Saccharomyces cerevisiae S288C: one gene and its partners. The protein of the gene in region 1 interacts with the protein of each later gene in a biochemical or structural test. Each region holds a gene or a part of one and is shown on either strand. Other genes may lie near its edges. The genes, in order: IME2, MCM4, GPA2 and IME1.

The links.
Region 2: of the proteins of IME2 (region 1) and MCM4, one has a biochemical effect on the other in vitro, tested with the Saccharomyces cerevisiae proteins (one study listed by BioGRID).
Region 3: the proteins of IME2 (region 1) and GPA2 form a complex in vitro, tested with the Saccharomyces cerevisiae proteins (one study listed by BioGRID).
Region 4: of the proteins of IME2 (region 1) and IME1, one has a biochemical effect on the other in vitro, tested with the Saccharomyces cerevisiae proteins (one study listed by BioGRID).

What each region holds. Positions count from the first base shown.
Region 1 is NC_001142.9:219,406-224,569, forward strand, and holds IME2 (protein kinase IME2), read left to right. Parts: upstream 1-1,984; coding exon 1,985-3,922; downstream 3,923-5,164. Other genes in the region: YJL107C (uncharacterized protein), read right to left, coding at 1-611. UniProt on the Saccharomyces cerevisiae protein: Protein kinase which is essential for the initiation of meiosis and sporulation.
Region 2 is NC_001148.4:595,198-601,090, reverse strand, and holds MCM4 (MCM DNA helicase complex subunit MCM4), read right to left. Parts: upstream 4,342-5,893; coding exon 1,540-4,341; downstream 1-1,539. Other genes in the region: AGC1 (citrin), read left to right, coding at 1-442; ATP20 (F1F0 ATP synthase subunit g), read right to left, coding at 874-1,221; RLF2 (Rlf2p), read right to left, coding at 4,795-5,893. UniProt on the Saccharomyces cerevisiae protein: Acts as a component of the MCM2-7 complex (MCM complex) which is the putative replicative helicase essential for 'once per cell cycle' DNA replication initiation and elongation in eukaryotic cells.
Region 3 is NC_001137.3:192,819-197,255, forward strand, and holds GPA2 (guanine nucleotide-binding protein subunit alpha), read left to right. Parts: upstream 1-2,349; coding exon 2,350-3,699; downstream 3,700-4,437. Other genes in the region: ISC1 (inositol phosphosphingolipid phospholipase), read left to right, coding at 1-1,412; Arf family guanine nucleotide exchange factor SBH2, read right to left, coding at 1,455-1,721; proteasome regulatory particle lid subunit RPN3, read left to right, coding at 4,130-4,437. UniProt on the Saccharomyces cerevisiae protein: Alpha subunit of the heterotrimeric guanine nucleotide-binding protein (G protein) involved in glucose-induced cAMP signaling.
Region 4 is NC_001142.9:603,465-607,848, reverse strand, and holds IME1 (transcription factor IME1), read left to right. Parts: upstream 1-2,197; coding exon 2,198-3,280; downstream 3,281-4,384. Other genes in the region: cleavage polyadenylation factor subunit FIP1, read left to right, coding at 3,646-4,384. UniProt on the Saccharomyces cerevisiae protein: Transcription factor required for sporulation and for early sporulation-specific genes expression. Positive regulator of SME1/IME2 expression. Directly activates expression of SLZ1 during meiosis.

The DNA of each region.
Region 1 (5,164 bases):
CAATTTACGTCACCTTCTAATTTGAGAGCCTCCAGTTTTTCTTTATCGTCGCCCTCATGAACGTCTACGATTTTAGACGCATCAGCTAGATCGGATAAGGGAATTTCTTCATTACGGTTATTTTTTTCTATATCATTCTTCCCATTTTCATTTTCTGAAGGTATTGGTGCCAAGCCAGGGACCAAACCCCCTTGATTTCCAGTCAGGTTATTTATTATCTTCTTGATGAACGTCTCATCGTCTCCATCCTTACCATTGTTCCTTAAATGTGTGAAAGAAACTTTAGGCTTCCTCTTGTGGCGAGCAGGCCTATCTTCTTCATCTTGTCCATCTGTGCCCTTAGAATTATCGCTGGTTTCTGTAGATCTTGAAGACAAATCATTTTCTAGAGCATCCGTATCAGCAGTGAATCTTACATTTTTGTTATCATTATTAGAAATACCTAGATCACTGATGCTTTTACCACTTAAATTGCCTTTTTTGCTCTCGGCTGAATTGGAAGTGCGATGGTCACTACTATCTTCAAGATTCACTCCCGCTTGACTTTGCTCGGAGCTTCCCACCCGAAAATCTGACACAGGAGTGGTTGGTTTTTCATTTCTACCGTCCATTGTATAGCCTATCGGTTATTCGATCTTTTTTCTTTTGTTATTCTATATCTAAAAGATAAAAGTCGCACACCGCTAAGTAAGTAAGTAAGTGTTATATAAGATTTATTTAGCTACGTTCTCAGATATAGTAGGCTTAAAACAAACGTAAAACATAGTTATATATTAATATGCAATTCGGTTTATTTCTTTTTCAAGATTCTTCCGAATTTCGTCATATTGGGTTCGCAATTTTTGGCGATGGCTTTGCTTCGATATTTTTCGGATGAAAATAGTCAAAGGACACTAGAAACACGAATGGCGCGCTGATTACGGAGACGTCGGGCTAAGACAAAGAGGGTCCATTCGGCGTGCTGGTGGTACTGTGACAGATAAACCCAATGCCCCACTTTTCTCGAGGAGTTGAAACAAGCGGGACAACTGCTACGTCATAAAAATGGGAGTACCAAGGGAGGAGCCATAAGCCGGGTAAAATTTGGCGCTGTTTTTCTTAATCTAAAAATAGTTCAACAATAAAATTTGGGCTCCGCCCATCCAGACCAAAGCAATCTTCGGCCTTAACAAGCCAAAGGGAACGAAACCCAGACTCTACCATGCATTTCGAACATGTTGTAGCTAACTACACTGGTAACCCAGATACCTATTCTCTCAGTAGCTGTTTCACCAAGACTCCGCACTCATGGTAAGTAGAAAAAGAAAACTCTCACAAAAATCTGAGTGGCACAGCTTTTCCAAATACGCTTTTTAAACTTGGAGAAATAAAGATGTATTACCCGCTGGTGCCTTAAAATATCCTTTTCTCCGGTTGTCCAATAATTTATGTTACGGCGGCTATTTGAGTTTTTGTGGAAATCTCTATCATTAATAAATGTCAGCCTTGTGTCTTAAATGCAATTCAACAGGGAAAAGGCGCGAGACTTCGGCGGCAAAAAGCCACAGACAAGTGCTGGTTGCAAAGAGGTAAAGAAGTAATGTGTGTAATCAAATAGATATATTAAGGTAGCAACTCACCGGTCTGTCCATTTTCTTTTCCTGAATAACTTCTTCTGTCTTCACACATTCATTTCATTTTTATTTTCCAATATCACTCAACGAGAAAGAAGTTACAAGATCTATCTTTCAAAATAGTTTACAGTTACCTTTACTTTACCCTTTCCCTTTTCAGTTTGTTACCCCTTCTCCTAAAAGTTTTATTTTTTGGGTAAAGATATAAAGGACACTCCAGTCGGTTAAGGTGGCTGTCTAGAGAATATAAACCTGTATTTATTTACCAGGCTTATCAGAAAAGTTAATCGTGTTCTTAAATATTCATTGAAAAGGAACGTGATACAGACGTAATAAAAGAAGAGTACTAAGCTTAACTTAATAGGTCATTTATGGTTGAAAAACGTAGTAGACAGAGTTCCAGTAGTGGCTCAGAGTTCAGTGTTCCACCTGATGTCGATAACCCGCCACTTTCTATCCCTTTGAAGACTTTATCAGACAGATATCAGCTGATCGAAAAACTAGGTGCAGGATCATTTGGTTGTGTAACTTTAGCCAAAGCGCAATTTCCTTTATCGAACATATTGGGTAAACAACATGATATAAGGGGTACTTTAATGGATCAGCCTAAAAATGGTCACCAAAACTATATAACAAAGACACAAGGTGTAGTGGCTATAAAGACAATGATGACAAAACTGCATACACTCCAGGATTATACGAGGGTCAGAGAAATTAAGTTCATACTGGCAATCCCAGCGAATGACCATCTGATACAAATTTTTGAGGTCTTTATTGACTCTGAAAATTACCAATTACATATCGTAATGGAATGTATGGAGCAAAACCTATATCAAATGATGAAACATAGAAGGCGCCGAGTTTTTTCGATTCCTTCTTTGAAATCTATTCTATCGCAGATACTGGCTGGGTTAAAACACATCCACGAACATAATTTCTTCCACAGAGATTTAAAACCTGAAAATATTCTTATCACACCAAGTACCCAGTATTTTGAAAAGGAGTACATGAACCAGATTGGATATCAAGATAACTATGTCATTAAACTTGCAGATTTTGGTTTGGCACGCCATGTTGAAAATAAAAACCCGTATACGGCCTACGTTTCCACAAGATGGTATAGATCGCCTGAAATATTATTAAGAAGTGGTTACTATTCCAAACCTTTGGATATTTGGGCATTCGGGTGCGTGGCGGTGGAAGTTACTGTATTCAGAGCTCTCTTCCCCGGTGCTAACGAAATCGATCAGATATGGAAAATTTTAGAAGTTCTTGGTACACCTATCAAACGTTCTGATTTTGTTAATACAAACCACATCACAGCTCCACCACCTGGTGGATTTTGGGATGATGCCAGTAATTTGGTCCATAAATTAAACTTGAAATTGCCTTATGTAGAAGGTTCATCGTTGGATCATCTACTTTCTAGCTCCCAACTATCCGATTTATCTGAGGTTGTCAAAAAGTGTTTAAGATGGGATCCTAATGAAAGGGCAACAGCCCAAGAGCTTTGTGAAATGCCATTTTTTGAAAACACCGTGGCATCCCAAGTAGACGCAAGAGGCAATGTGACTAATACAGAACAAGCATTGATTTTTGCAGGTATAAATCCAGTAGCGACCAACACAAAGCCCATATATTTTAACTCTTCAACAAAATTGCCCGCAGAAACAGAGTCTAATGATATTGATATCAGCAACAACGATCACGATTCTCATGCTATGTGCTCACCAACATTAAATCAAGAAAAACTAACTTTGGTAGAATTTTTAAACGAATTCGTTGAAGAAGATAATGATGATCACTCAATACCTGATGTTGGAACAGATTCTACCATTTCAGATTCTATTGATGAGACTGAATTATCAAAAGAAATTCGTAATAATTTGGCCCTTTGTCAACTACCAGATGAAGAAGTCTTAGATCATTCATTATCGAATATTAGGCAGTTGACAAATGATATTGAAATTATAAATAAAGATGAAGCAGACAACATGGAACAGCTATTTTTTGACCTGGAAATTCCTGAAAAGGATGAGTTTCAGAGAAAACAACCATTTAATGAACATGCAGATATTGATGAAGACATCGTTCTACCATATGTGAACAACTCAAATTACACACATACAGATAGGTCACATCATAGAGGTGATAATGTTTTGGGTGATGCCTCTTTAGGCGATTCGTTTAATTCAATGCCAGATTTTACTCCAAGAAATTTCTTGATACCTACATTAAAAAAATCACGGGAAAAGTTCGAGCCTCATCTATCCAATTCAAACCAACATTTTGGAAATGTAACCTTCTAATAATTTGTCATTTGACTGACGAATCGTTAGGCACAGTTATATAGTTATATACACATAGACATACATATGTTCGCATATATATTATATTACTATGCATTCACCTAAATAGCTACTGCTCTATTAATACAGTGCTTTTTCGATGGCTTTAATTTAACTTATTAGACATTACTTTGCGTTTATTCCCCTCCAATATATTTTTATGTTTGTTTTTCTTGAACATTTTATGATTTCTTGCTCTTGGCGGCTACTGATTTTGTTAAGCAACTCATCAAGAGGTCAAAAAAAGTAGAACGAGATCTTTGTGTTCGGTTACCCGGCTCAGATCCTAACTTGGTATGTTTATTCGTATAAGTTACTGTTGTCCACAGGCAATACTCTGCAGAAAATTAAAACGGCATTAATGCTAGGACAACCAGAACTGTTACTACTGTATGTGCGATAGTTGATAACTGCAACATTATGCCCGGTATATTCTCAAAAAACCCTATTACTGCATACGAAGAAATCGCAAGAGAAATCTTTCGGTTTGGAAAAGCTCACTGTGAGGTTCCTTGGAGCCAATAGTAATACAGCACAATCCAAGGAAAAATCTGGCCTATATGCAAGGAAGGAGAGATAGTCAAAAGCATTCTTTCCCCTAGAAGTTGGTGCATATATGGCATCGTTAAAACATATTACCCCCAAAATTTCTTCTCTAAACGATGTGCTTGGCCTTTGTTTTGGTTTTTGATGTCGGTCGTTTGAGGCCCCTTGCGGAAAATCGAGATCGCCGAATGGCACGCGAGGGAAGGGAAATAAGGTTTAAAGGCACTGAAACAATAGGCAAGAAGTAGGCGAGAGCCGACATACGAGACTAATGTGTCCGCGTTTCTAAGGCCACTTTTCAATGAAACGGATATTGATATGCTAGTAAAAGGACGAGCTCAAGAGCGAAAATATAAGTAAAGAATTCGAGTGCACTTGTCTCCATGCAGCAAGATTTCATATGAGTCTTTTTTATCTTTTTACTTTTTACATTACACGATATGCACTTTATGAAAATTTAACGAGGTTGGAAGCCGGATAATCAACCAAAATCAGGCACGAAGGCACACTCGTATATGCATGTTGTTGAAACTCTGTTACGCTGAACTAACAATCACACATGTAGAGGTCACCGGGAAAAGTTGCGACCCCATGGAAGGTCGATCTCTTCGTTTGGCTTTGCTTGGCTGGCGGCATTGCGCTTCTTCGCTTATACCC
Region 2 (5,893 bases), on another chromosome or scaffold:
GATAGATCCTCGAAAAGGTGAGACAAAGTATAACGGTATATTTCATGCTATCCGAACTATCTTAAAGGAAGAGAGCTTTAGAAGCTTTTTCAAAGGTGGTGGAGCCCGTGTCCTAAGAAGTTCTCCCCAATTTGGGTTCACTCTGGCCGCCTATGAATTATTCAAGGGCTTTATTCCCTCCCCCGATAACAAATTAAAAAGCAGAGAGGGTAGGAAGAGATTTTGTATCGATGACGACGCAGGCAATGAAGAGACAGTAGTTCATAGTAACGGTGAACTCCCACAGCAAAAGTTTTACTCTGATGATAGAAAACATGCCAATTATTACTATAAAAGCTGTCAAATTGCGAAAACATTCATTGATTTGGACAATAACTTTTCTAGGTTTGACTCTTCAGTTTATAAAAACTTTCAAGAGCACCTAAGAAGCATTAACGGGTGATTTATTTTCTTCGTCAGTTTCTCTGTACATATATATGTATATATTTACTTATTATAATTCATAGCAAAATATATGTTTTTTTTTTTTTCTTATAGTGAGAAAAATTACTAATGATCCTGAGATCAATTTCACTGTAGTTTTTACTATAGTGCAACAAGTATGTTGTTCTTAATAAGTGTAATGAAAGCTCTGAGGTCAAGTTTTCTTTTTTACAGAAAAGTTATATTGGCCTATTTCATAAATAACTGGCGGCAAGAAGCTAATGTAATATAACTCGATATCGCTTTTAATGCCATTGTATGTCATGAAAAGAAAATAAATAGAATTGAGATGAATATATATTCTTTTTTCTAGTTTTGTTCTATTTGTACATTGATTTAATTTAATTAACGAATATACAAGGGTTTTGCGAATAGATAGAATTAAAAAGCTTAGTGATGTTTATATCCCACTAATTTTCTTCTTCCAATTATTTCACCGACAGAATAAAACCCTATCAACTGAATACCATATGCGCCATATTTTAATAGTTCATTCTTTTGGATGTTTTTTAAACACGATAAAACTTCTGTAGGCTTTAGAGCAAAGTTTAGGCTCTGCTTATAAAGGTTCGAATACACTGATTTGAACTGGGCAACAGTTGGTGGTTGAAGACCCTCTTTTAAATAAATCTGTTTTGAAATCTCGGCACCGACTTTACCATAGTATAAAGCCTTTGATGACAAAAGATTTGCTTTAGAAACCAACCCACTGGTATAATTTTGGATCCTGCTTAGCATGATGAATTGATTAGCGTTCTGAAATATGATTTATCGGCAGGTTTATCTTGTCGATTTGGACTGGAGTAGAAAATATGAGGGATCTTTGCATCTTCATTTTTCGGTCTTTAAATGTAATCATCCTTCGGGATAAATTTAGTGCGTTTAACAATATTTTCTTTCAGCCAATCAGGAATAAGAAAAAAGCCGCCCACTCAATCGAGCCTACATACAGTATTGAATAGTGTTACAAAGCATAAGGATGTAAAAAATACAAACTTGCTATAATTAATTAGTATTTATTAATTGTTACGCAGGGAATGATTGTAGTAGACAGCATCAGACACGGTTATTCAGGCGAACTGATCTCCTTACACCCTCGCCAAGGACAATGACCTTGTCCTCTTGTTGCAATCTTGACAAGGCTTCCTGGATATCAGAAGACTCAACTCTATCTTGAGAGTGTTCATTGATTTGTTTTATAAGCTCATTGAATGACATTGAGTCTGATGCCTGATCCTTCAAAACATTCATAATTTCCCTTGACAAATCCTCCTGTAGTTTTCTCTGAATAACTGATTTACCTGTTTGAACTAAATTCATGTCGATTTTACCGGTTTTAGGGTCTGTTGCATAATCTTTTATGGCTGATCTAATTAATCTAACGGCTTCTTGAACATCCTCCAGCTCTACGACGTTTTTCAATTTCATTTTGGCGTGCGCCTCAGCCAAACGAATCATACTTTCAAGTTGTCTTGTGGTAGCTGTGATTCTCTTCTCATCGGATCTCGAATCGTCACCCATCTTTCTCATTCCTACATAAGCACGAACAAGCTCAGTCTTAGCGGCCTCGGTGATTATTGGGTGTATGTGCTCCTTTGCATAACTAATATACATCGTTAAAAATTCAACTGGTAGCACGTCGTCTTGAGAAATATGTTCGGGCTTATCTTCCAGGTAAAGATTTGTTAAGTGTTTGGCTAGTTCTCTGTCATTTTTCTCATCAACCTTATCAAGGACAAGATAGACCAGATCGAATCTCGAAAGTAGTGGGGGCGGTAGATCAATATTTTCAGTCACAGGCAAATTGGGGTTGTAGCGTGAACCAATTGGGTTAGCACTGGCCAAAATAGAACTTCTGGCATTAAGTGTTGTGATAATTCCCGCTTTTGCGATTGAAATAGTCTGCTGTTCCATGACTTCGTGCAAGACGGACCTTGTAGAATCACTCATTTTATCAAACTCGTCAATACAACAAACACCTCCATCAGACAATACTAATGCACCACTTTCCAAAACAAGTTGTTTTGTGTCGACATCCCTTGTAATATAAGCAGTTAAACCAACGGCAGATGAACCTTTACCCGAAGTATACACACCACGAGGAGTAATTTTGTGAACGTATTGCAAAATTTGCGATTTGGAAGTAGAAGGATCCCCACAAAGTAAAATATTTATGTCACCTCTATAACGGCCACCCTTGGTAAAGGTTTTATTCGTGCCGCCAAATAGCTGAAGTAATATACCCTTCTTGACATCTTCTAGCTCGTAAATACTTGGGGCAATAGAGCGGGCTAATAAACTGTATAAATCTTCTCTTGCCGCAACCTCGCGAATTTTTGCTAAATCCTGATCAGTAATTTGTCTTACTTCTTCGACCTCGTTATGATCTACCTTGTTCTGCATTAATTCTTGTTCAATAGTAGAAGTATCGACGTCTAACCTCTTATCTGAAACTTTTTTAACGTGGACCACATCGACGTATGTTTTATACAACGACTTTAGTACGCGTTGCCTGGAATTAGCTCTAATGGGGATGGACCTGAACGTGCCAGTCACCTCAATACGATCGCCCGCCCTGCAAGAATCCACTAATTCATCGTAAACACATAATGAGATAGAGTGAGGCGTTTGTCCATCAGGCACAAAGTCTGGAGTTTCCTGTAACTTAATGACTTGTTTATCTGCGAATGAACACCTGTTGTGAATCAGTGACATGGAATTGGGTTCATTACAATCAATACGTTCACACCTAGCGGGCTCTTGTATAACTCCTCTATCAATTTCCACTGCCATTGTATGATCGCAGACGTTGCATTTGAAAAACGCTACCTTCATATCAGGGATAACCGGAGTTGATCTCAGGACAAGACCCTTTAAGTTTATCAATTTATCAATATCATTTGGATTCAATTCGCGCATACCTTTACAAGAACCTACATTGTAAGGCCTTACTTTATAAAACTTGGTCTCTATTTCATCTAAATCGTAATCCAAATTGTTGTCTACTATTAAGGAAACCATACAGTCCTTGATAGTTTGATCCATGATAGAAATCACTTCTTGAGGATAATTTAATAGTTGATGGTATAAGTCTTCTGTTTGCTTGTAAGCAAGTAAGTTTCTAGCATCCAAGTTTAAATTAGAGGTACCAAGTTCTCTCATTTCATTAAGCTGCTTGATATAGTATAGTTCTTCGTCGGTAGTATTGTTAATGAATTCCTCCCTTTCATCCAATATTTTACGGAATTTATACTTGAAAGACATCAAAAAATTACGAAAATTAGTTGTACATTCCTGGATACTGACGTTGGTACCCCAAATTATTCTCAAGGGTTCACTGGCTTCCGATGGAGGAGCAGAAGAAGAAGAAGTATCCAAAGTATTCACGCCGGATCTAGTATCAAAATCCACAATTCTTCTTGGAGAGGATAAATCAGATGTATGAATATCATTTCTTCGCATGTGTACACGGTTTTGACCATTACGGCCTAAAGAAGAGGAAGAAGTAGGCAGTGCTCTATCACTTCTCAGATCAGAATGATATCTAGACCTTCCAGAAGCGCTCGCAGAAGAACGAATTCTGCCCTGTCTGCCTTGAGATTGGAAAACATCGGAATTTTGTCTTTGGGAAGAAGATGGAAAATTTAGTGGAGAAGAACCTATAGCAGCTCTGATGTTTCCCTCTCCCTGACTTAAGTTCTGGCTATTGTTGCGACCATAGATATCACCTTGTGATGAAGAGGAGCTATAAAATAGAGCTGGGGAAGAAAGCTGTGGTGGAACAGAATCAGGATTAGGCACAACGGGGGAGCTGGAGTTATTATCCTCTTTTGTTGGAGAGCTAGACTGTTGAGACATTTTAAGTTCTTGAGGTTCAAAAGGATCCTAAGTTGGGCTCTACCAAGAGTAAAAATAACTGAAGATGGGTTGTCTTATTTAGTATTGAAGATGTTCTTAAAGAAATAAACAGTGCCAATGCGAAGTTGCTCTTCTGGTCTCTTCTTCTCTTTTCATTTTCGAGGCGGCGAACTAGCATTAAATTTCCCGAAAGAGTAAACCAAGTGTTTGCGTTTTCATGAATCTACTCGTAATATTCCAAAAAGAAGTGATATAAAACATGCAGTTGGCTGACACAGATAAATGTAGTTCAGCTTATATAGAAGATTTTCTTTTGTTGCATGCGAGAAGTGCTGGATTTTATTCAAAGTCCAAAAGGCTTGACTGTCGATCGTAGTGTTGTCGCCTTTTTCATGTATACCAATAAATAATCAGTTTATCTGTATGTTTCTATATACTAAAGATCCGTTCAAGTTACAAAGACGGGGTTGGCATATTTGCATTGGCTCGAAGATTCTCCCAGTTTTGTGCGTCTTTGATTACCCATTTGCGGGGCAAATCACCCTTTCCAGAACTTCTTATGGCATATTCCTTTATGGTGTTTTTAATTGTTTGTTTGTTGTATTGCGGCAAATTTTTCTGTGCTATTTCAGTCACAGTACCCAAAGAAAACGTGCTGTCTTGAACCCCATCAAAAAGTCGAAGTAAGTCCATGGGGTCTGTAATCATTGCTTTTTGTTTCTTTTCGGGACTTTGAGATTGGCTAGCGGTCTGTGCCTGTAAGTCGGAATTACTTCTTTTGGATGGTAGAGACGATGTTTTGGGTTCTTTGAATGGATCGATTGGCCCGTCGGTTTCTATGATAACTTCGGCCTTGAGTTGTTGTAAGTATCGTTTATTTTCCTCTGATAAGTTTTCAAAATTGGATTTTAGGCATATTGTTGGTATCAATGGGCCTACAAATTTTCTCTTGGCGCAGGGTAGGCCATCCAAATCACTGTTTTCTTCGCTGTCTAGAAACCCGTCAAACTCTCCTTCGCTAGGTACGTCTTCATCATCTTCCTCCTCCTCCTCCTCTTCACCACTTTCTAAGTTATCGACTTCGCCTTCTTCTTCTTCATTAACCCATTCAACGTCAGAATCGTAATCATAATTGAATCCAGTACCTTTCGTAGAAAAGGGATCGTTTGGTGGCAAAGTAAAGTCCATAGAATAGGTTCCGATAAACGGAGGTCTAACATTTTCGTAGAATTTTATATATTTGTGCGGAACTTGTGCAAGTAAAGATTGGAGCTCATCGTCTGTTTTCTCCTTCAAAGGCATTTGCTGTAGAACGTCAACAGCTTTACGTTTAATTTTATGTCCTCTAGGTAATCTTCTAGACTGTAACCAATTCAATAAGTCGTCACTACTTGTTTTATCTTTACTGTTCAGTAATTCATCATCTATTTTTCTTTTGCTACCTTCCAGCTCCACTTTTGTTAGTTTCCACTTATTACTGACTCTAACTCCATCTTTAGCATAGAAAGGTAGAAAAAATTTTTCATAATCCGACTTTTCAACCACAGGCGTA
Region 3 (4,437 bases), on another chromosome or scaffold:
ATGTTCACGAGAGGAAGGAAGATGGTCAATCTGAGTTTGAAGCACTGAACGGGACCAACGCAATTATGTCCGATAATAGTAAAGCGTATTCCATAAAGTTTCTGACCTTCAATACATGGGGGTTAAAATACGTCTCCAAACACCGTAAAGAAAGACTCAGAGCAATTGCTGATAAATTGGCGGGCCACTCAATGCTTACGCCAATATCTGACGAGTTGTTGCCCAATGGTGGAGATAGTAATGAAAACGAAGATTACGACGTGATTGCCTTACAAGAAATCTGGTGTGTGGAAGACTGGAAGTATCTAGCTTCTGCGTGTGCCTCCAAGTATCCGTATCAGCGTTTGTTCCATTCTGGTATTCTGACGGGGCCTGGGTTGGCCATACTGTCCAAGGTCCCGATAGAGTCGACCTTTCTTTACCGGTTCCCGATAAACGGTAGACCGAGTGCGGTGTTCCGTGGCGACTGGTACGTAGGGAAATCTATAGCAATCACCGTATTGAACACAGGAACCCGCCCCATTGCAATAATGAACAGTCACATGCACGCCCCATACGCCAAGCAGGGTGATGCCGCCTACTTGTGCCACAGATCTTGTCAGGCCTGGGATTTCAGCAGGCTCATTAAGCTTTACAGGCAGGCCGGTTATGCGGTGATTGTGGTGGGTGACTTAAACTCCAGACCGGGCTCACTGCCCCACAAATTTCTCACGCAGGAGGCCGGCCTGGTCGACTCCTGGGAGCAATTGCATGGGAAGCAAGACTTGGCGGTGATCGCTCGTCTGTCTCCATTGCAACAATTGCTTAAGGGCTGTACCACGTGCGATTCGCTGCTCAACACATGGAGGGCCCAAAGACAACCCGATGAGGCATGCAGGTTGGATTATGCTCTTATCGACCCTGATTTCTTGCAAACAGTAGACGCAGGTGTCAGGTTCACTGAACGGATCCCTCACCTGGACTGCAGTGTCTCTGACCATTTTGCATACTCATGCACCCTTAACATCGTCCCACAGGGCACAGAGTCCCGTCCATCCACCTCCGTTAAGCGTGCGAAGACTCATGATAGAGAGCTGATCTTGCAGAGATACTCCAACTACGAAACCATGATAGAATGCATCCACACGTACTTGAAGACAGCCCAAAGACAGAAATTTTTCCGTGGCCTACATTTCTGGGCCTCAATACTTCTCCTAATAGCGTCGTTGGTCGTGACAACGTTTACTGCAAACAAGGCAGGCTGGTCCTCCATCTTCTGGGTCCTTTTCGCTATTGCTGTCTCCATCTCGGGCACCATCGACGGTGCCATCTCCTTCTTGTTTGGCAGGTCTGAAATCAGAGCCCTCATCGAAGTCGAACAAGAGGTTCTGGACGCGGAGCACCACCTGCAAACTTTCTTGAGCGAGAAATGATATTATCGATTTTCTTTAGCATATGTAAAAAAATTACTGATATTATATAATGTGTGTAAATTTCGTCAATAGATGCAAAGCAATCACGGAGAAGATGAAACCGACAGATAGGAACAATACGACAAGGGAGTCGACTCTGAATCCATTGGCTTCGTCCGTATATAACTTCAAAATTGAGCTTGAAGACCCACCGTAACCAGCCTGTCTGGTGGAAGTGGGCGTTTGTTTTGCTTGCTTTTCCTTAATGGATTGTGCCTGTCTTCTCTTCTGCAAGATACGCTGACCTCCTGGTGGAACTGAAGCTGCCATTCTTATGATACTGTTGATCGATAATACCACCTGTTTTATGCTTTGCGCCCCTTACCTTTTCTCACACGCACATATATCTACTCTCTCATACCTCTTATATCTAAAATGTCTCTTTTGGCCAGTTAGTAACTGAATGAAAAAGTGAAAATGGAGGAAAAAAAAAAAGACGAAATCCAAAAGGCTAAGGAAACGGGTAACCCGTGGTACCCGGGGCAGAATCAAACTTATAATTACTAAAGATATACCATATATTACGATCCCTGCGCCCGGCGTGCTCCACATTAAGTAAATGTCTGGAGTAAAATGAAGTCCGCCAATTCAGTCACAAAACATGACTACTGCCTCGTTCGCGATTTCTTCTTCCCTTACTTCATCATGTTCAAGCCCCCTCAGCTGCGCCCAAATGATTCTTCTTATCCTCTTGCATACTGCACCGAAAAAAAAAGTTAATAAGCAGCAGGATTTATAGGCGCGTGCGTGCAGCCTTAGACTGAAGGGGTGGAAAAACTTTAGGTAGGTTTGGTTCTCACTACCCAAAGAGCAATCGATAGGTATAAAAGTGAGCAATTGCTATCACAGCGAGCCTTATTGTTACAGCACAAATCACGCGTATTTTCAAGCAAATATCATGGGTCTCTGCGCATCTTCAGAAAAGAACGGCAGCACTCCTGACACGCAGACCGCCAGCGCTGGTAGTGACAACGTTGGCAAAGCGAAGGTACCACCAAAGCAGGAGCCACAGAAGACTGTGAGAACAGTCAACACAGCAAATCAACAAGAAAAGCAACAACAGAGGCAGCAGCAGCCGTCTCCGCATAATGTTAAGGACCGCAAGGAGCAAAACGGGAGCATTAATAACGCGATATCTCCCACGGCTACGGCAAATACAAGCGGATCGCAACAGATCAATATCGACTCTGCCCTGAGAGACAGGTCGAGTAACGTTGCAGCACAACCATCATTGTCGGACGCTTCAAGTGGCAGCAACGACAAAGAACTGAAAGTGCTACTGCTGGGTGCCGGTGAAAGTGGTAAGTCCACGGTATTGCAGCAGTTGAAGATTTTACACCAGAACGGGTTTAGCGAGCAGGAAATTAAAGAGTACATCCCCTTGATCTATCAGAATCTATTGGAAATTGGCAGGAACCTCATCCAGGCGAGAACAAGGTTTAACGTCAACTTGGAACCGGAGTGTGAACTGACGCAACAAGACCTGTCGAGAACCATGTCCTATGAAATGCCCAATAACTACACGGGCCAATTCCCGGAAGATATCGCGGGCGTAATATCTACGTTGTGGGCCTTGCCCTCAACACAAGATTTAGTCAATGGGCCTAACGCATCGAAGTTCTATCTAATGGACTCGACTCCTTACTTCATGGAAAATTTCACCAGGATCACTTCGCCCAATTACAGACCCACCCAGCAGGACATATTAAGATCGAGACAGATGACGTCAGGGATTTTTGACACCGTCATTGATATGGGGTCGGATATCAAGATGCATATTTACGACGTGGGTGGACAGCGTTCCGAAAGAAAAAAATGGATACACTGCTTCGACAATGTCACTCTGGTCATATTTTGCGTTTCTCTATCGGAGTACGACCAGACGCTGATGGAGGACAAGAACCAGAACAGGTTTCAGGAATCGCTGGTGCTTTTCGATAATATTGTCAACAGTAGATGGTTCGCGCGCACGTCTGTCGTACTCTTTCTGAATAAAATCGACCTTTTTGCTGAAAAACTAAGCAAAGTGCCTATGGAAAATTACTTCCCAGACTACACCGGCGGGTCAGACATCAACAAGGCTGCTAAGTACATACTCTGGAGGTTTGTTCAGTTAAACAGGGCGAATCTAAGCATATATCCTCACGTGACACAGGCCACAGACACGTCGAATATAAGATTAGTATTTGCCGCCATCAAAGAAACAATTTTGGAAAATACATTGAAAGACTCTGGAGTGTTACAATGAATGCACAGCTAAAACAGAGACAAAACTGCATGCCTCTTCTCCCCTTTATTATCACCTTTAAAAAAGATAAAAAAAGAAACTGGAAAAAAGGTAAAAAAAAAAAAAAAATTAAATAAATACGAATACGTTTTCTCATGACCATTGTACTAGTAATCACAACCATGATACTTGAATAACTTTTCTGTTTTGTGCTGTATTAAGCACAACCGTTATTTTTTAATTTATAGCGTTATACCACTATATTATTGTAGTCATTATAGTTATTATCCCGGGTAACAAAAATTTCATTCCAACGAGGTAATAGTTCCACTTTTCAGGCAGGAGGACGAAAAACATTTGCCACCCAAGAAAGAGACAAAGCAGTAGGTAAGGCATTCATCACACAATTTGAAAGGGGGTATAGTAAAAAAAATTCAATTGAGCAAATAGAATGGCTAGCACTGCAGTAATGATGGACGTGGATTCTTCCGGGGTCAATGACTTGCACCATTCTGAGAAGAAATATGCGGAAGAAGATCAGGTTCAGGAACTATTGAAAGTTTTGAATGAGATCTCCAAGACCACTTTAACGCTGGACCCAAGATATATATGGAGGAGTTTAAAGGACTTGAGCTCTTTAAGGAACCAGGAGCTTTTGAATGCGGAAACTTTATGTTTCACAGTGAATGTGCTGTACCCTGATTCTTCTTCATTCAAGAAGAATCTGCTGAAGTTCATTACTTCTAACCATAAATCGTC
Region 4 (4,384 bases), 380 kb from region 1:
TCATATCATATATTATCTATATCATGCTGTTCTTTCCGCCACGGCCCGTATGGTGTTGGAGTAATTTGATTAATGTATTCCCTCACGGAGGTTCAGTAGATATTCTCAATAAAAGAAGGGTGGGGGTGTATTTGCTGCAAGAATGCGGATGTCAAAAGAACCTCAAGAAGTCCACTAAATGGCAGTAAATGCCGCGCTTACATTTTTAGCGACTGCCGAAAACGTACGGCTAACTGCTGTACCTCAAAAGCATAAAATTGTGATGTTGATTAAAACAAGTAGGCGTTGCATATATAGACGTGGGTAGGAAAAAAGTGAGCGCCAACACTATATAAGAAACCGTTTCTGGATACACCCTCGTGAAGAAATAGGGTCCTGCATTGATATTTTCAAACTTATATAATTAATAATAATTAATAGCGCTTAGTTTAAAGAATTTGAACTATTTTTTGGCCAACTTGGAGAAAGAATGTGTACTTGATTATTGGCATTCCGCGTATTTACGCGGGGATAAAGAGAAAACAAAGGAGAAAAGGAATTTCCTCAATTCCGATGACTAGTACCTCCGAGCAAGCAATCATCGGCGAACAGATGTAAAAAGAGAGTTTTAAACACTGAGTTTTATTTATCAAGAACGTACCCGTACAGCTATCGTTTCAGGCAGATAACAAAAATGTGATTGAAATTAAAGTAGTTTTGTTTGGAATCATGATAATTAAATATTTCATTAATTTGAAGTTACTAAGTAATGAAGCTAGCCCGAGAAACGCAAATGCTCAGAGAGCCCGGCAGTAATTGTGTACACAGAACTATACAAGCCGCTGGATAAAGCTTATTCGTTGATGTCATCCGCTATTACCTCTCCTAATCATGGCTGCAGGAAATCTTTTCTCTCAACATCTTGTACCACTTTAAAATGCGGTAGCAAAGGACAAACGGTAAAACGTTACACTGCCACGGTGTTATAGCAGCCGCAAAGTGAGTAAGCATGTGATGGTACCTTCAATACTGCGTTGGAGAAAAAAAGTGCGTATCTTTGTTTACTTTTCGTCTTCGAGGGGAAGGATCAAAGGCGCATGCGTGCCCGCAGGAGGGGGCGCCAGGATTGGGGGTAGATACAACATCAAGGAAGCGTCATGGTGGCTTCTTGGGTCTTAAATACGCAGGGAATTAAAGTTTCATTTATGTGCCTTTACATGCACTCAAAAACCTTCTTAGTTACAGGAAAAGGTAAAGATACGATAAGAAAAGCCTTTGAACTGCCCATCCTGCATCCTAACACAGATCTAACTCACTATTCGGGTAAGGAAGTGTCATGCATGTCTGCAAAGGGACTAGAAGAAAGTTACATGATTACATAAGCAAAAAATCGGAATTACAGACACACCATTTTTTATCCTGCGGCCCCATTTCCGTCTTCGAGGGAAAGGATCAAAGGCGCTTAGCCCAATCTTGATGATTCACCGGGGAAGAAAGGAATTACAGAACCCCCAGCCACGTAACACAGCCAATTAGTTTTCTATATCGGGAAACGTGATTGATTGCGCAATTTTGGCTGCATCAGAATACATCGATGAGATCTAGAGCACCCTTTGATGGTTTAAGTCCGGTTTAAAGTTAGTAGATCAATGATTTCGTAGTGCATTTTAAAGGGAGCGCTTATCCATGGGTGATTGCGTTTACAACGTTTTGTGTGTACTCATAATAGCCAATCTAAAATTAAACAACAACAACAACGCACAATTAATATGTATCAGCCCCAATACCTTTTTCTCTTACTGTAATTTACTACTAAATTGGGGTCGGACGTTTTTGATCTTGTTCCTTGCCTGTTGTTTACCTTGTATATTACTTTTCCTCTTTTATGTATTTAAGGTAAATTAATTATCTTTTGATCTTAATATTTTTCTCAAAATGCTTCCCTTGTAGTTCGGTATTTTTGCTTCTTCAGATATTTAAACTACCGTATACCATAACTGTTTCGTGAAGTAGATACAAACATCGACTATCCTATTACGATTTATTTTACATTATCATATTATAAATCGACCAGTAGTATTGTTAAAGATTAAAAGCATAATATACTACTGTCATTAGTCACCTACAGAGAAACAAATTCCTACTGGCACCCATTACTGGTGAAAAAGGAAAAAAATAATAAAAGAAAAGCTTTTCTATTCCTCTCCCCACAAACAAAATGCAAGCGGATATGCATGGAAAACTTCACGCTGCCTTAGAAGATGGTTTCTTCCTCTTTCCTTTTGAACAGCAACAACAACCTAACATTTATTATGACACAACCACCGATCAAGAAGACCGTCCTTGTTTTTCTTTTGGATCTACAATTTCCCCTAGAAGTTGGCATTTTGAAAAGTCTGACAAAATTGCCTCATCTCAGCTGCAGAACTTGGTTCATACACAACCAATTCATTTAATTAATCCTCAAATATTGTTCAATGAAGAGTTTCTGAATTTGGAAAATATTGATTCTCAGCCTATTTCCAAGGAAACGAAAACTACGAAGGACTGCACAATGGCAACTGGTCCTGAAAGAGGAAAAAAGAGCTCTGAAAGTACCAGATCCTCTTCATTATCATCTCTTTTTTCTAATGATGAATCCGCATCTACGTTCCACTCATCATTCAATAACCATGATAACTTTCAAAAGAGCAACAGAAATGGAGATGATATCGATATTAGTGACACAATAAAATATGAAACTAATACAAATGCACAAAAAGATATCAAAATATTCCAAGAAAATTTTGAATTCAATGAATTCCCATACACACAAGACTTCTACCCATATACCACTAATTATACCTATTCAAAACCCACAAATATTCATGAATCAATAAATTCAAAAAACACGGATTCATACTCCCAATATCAAGATCAGTTTCCACCACATACTGATAACATACATTCCTTTAATAATCGTCACTATAGCAACCATAAAAGCACTAATTGTAATTACTATAATAATACCAGCAATAATAACAACGCCTCCGATAATGTATATGAGGCAGATCCATTTATAGATGAACCTCAGGTGCCCTCCTACTATTACCCATTAGAAATTGCCTTCGACGTTGAAAAATCACCACCGCCATCACTACAAAAATTAAATTCAAAAGAGTTAGAATTCCTAAAAAAGTTGAACTCCAAACTGTCAAGATATGCTGCGGCTTACTCCTTCAGCAGTTCTAATGATCAAGATTATTATGACAAGGTCAGGTTTCAAGAAATATCCTACAAGTTTAGTAAAACCTATTCTTAATTCTCGAAAAGTACTACAATCTTCCCCCTTCCCTCAAAATATATCCATTCACACTCATTTCTTTATTTCCATTGTCTCACTCAAATTGCTAAGAATTTGTGTATTTGCATATATATATATTATATATAGGTATATATATGTATTCAATGTCTCAAGCTCCATGACATAATACCGTAGCGTTATTAGCCTTATCGTATGTCGCGATGGGAAAGGAGATTCGTTTTAATCTTGAAAAACCTTCGTAGCGAATAATGCGACATAAATCTTGAGAGAGTACATCACCAAATTCACTTTGTTAAACCGCACCATCGTGCTTTGCATTCTTATTCCTTTTGCCTACACTAAAATTATTAGCATTTCTCTAAATGAGCTCCAGTGAAGACGAAGACGACAAGTTCTTGTATGGTTCCGACTCCGAATTAGCACTACCTTCATCTAAACGATCAAGAGATGATGAAGCAGACGCAGGTGCGTCCAGTAATCCTGATATAGTTAAAAGGCAAAAATTCGACTCTCCCGTGGAAGAAACTCCAGCTACTGCCAGAGATGATCGTTCTGATGAAGATATCTACTCTGACTCCTCAGATGACGATAGTGATTCTGACCTAGAGGTTATCATAAGTCTGGGTCCTGACCCTACTAGGTTAGATGCAAAACTACTCGATTCTTATTCTACCGCAGCGACATCTTCAAGCAAAGACGTAATTAGCGTAGCTACAGATGTATCCAATACCATCACAAAGACATCAGATGAAAGACTAATAACAGAAGGAGAAGCAAATCAAGGTGTAACGGCAACGACCGTAAAAGCTACAGAGAGCGATGGAAATGTACCGAAAGCAATGACTGGTTCTATAGACCTGGATAAAGAGGGAATCTTTGATAGTGTTGGCATAACGACAATAGATCCTGAAGTATTAAAGGAGAAACCCTGGAGGCAACCGGGGGCCAACTTAAGTGATTATTTCAATTACGGTTTTAACGAATTTACCTGGATGGAGTATTTACATAGACAGGAAAAACTACAACAAGATTATAATCCTAGGAGGATCCTAATGGGCCTATTATCCCTCCAACAGCAAGGGAAGTTGAATTCCGCGAATG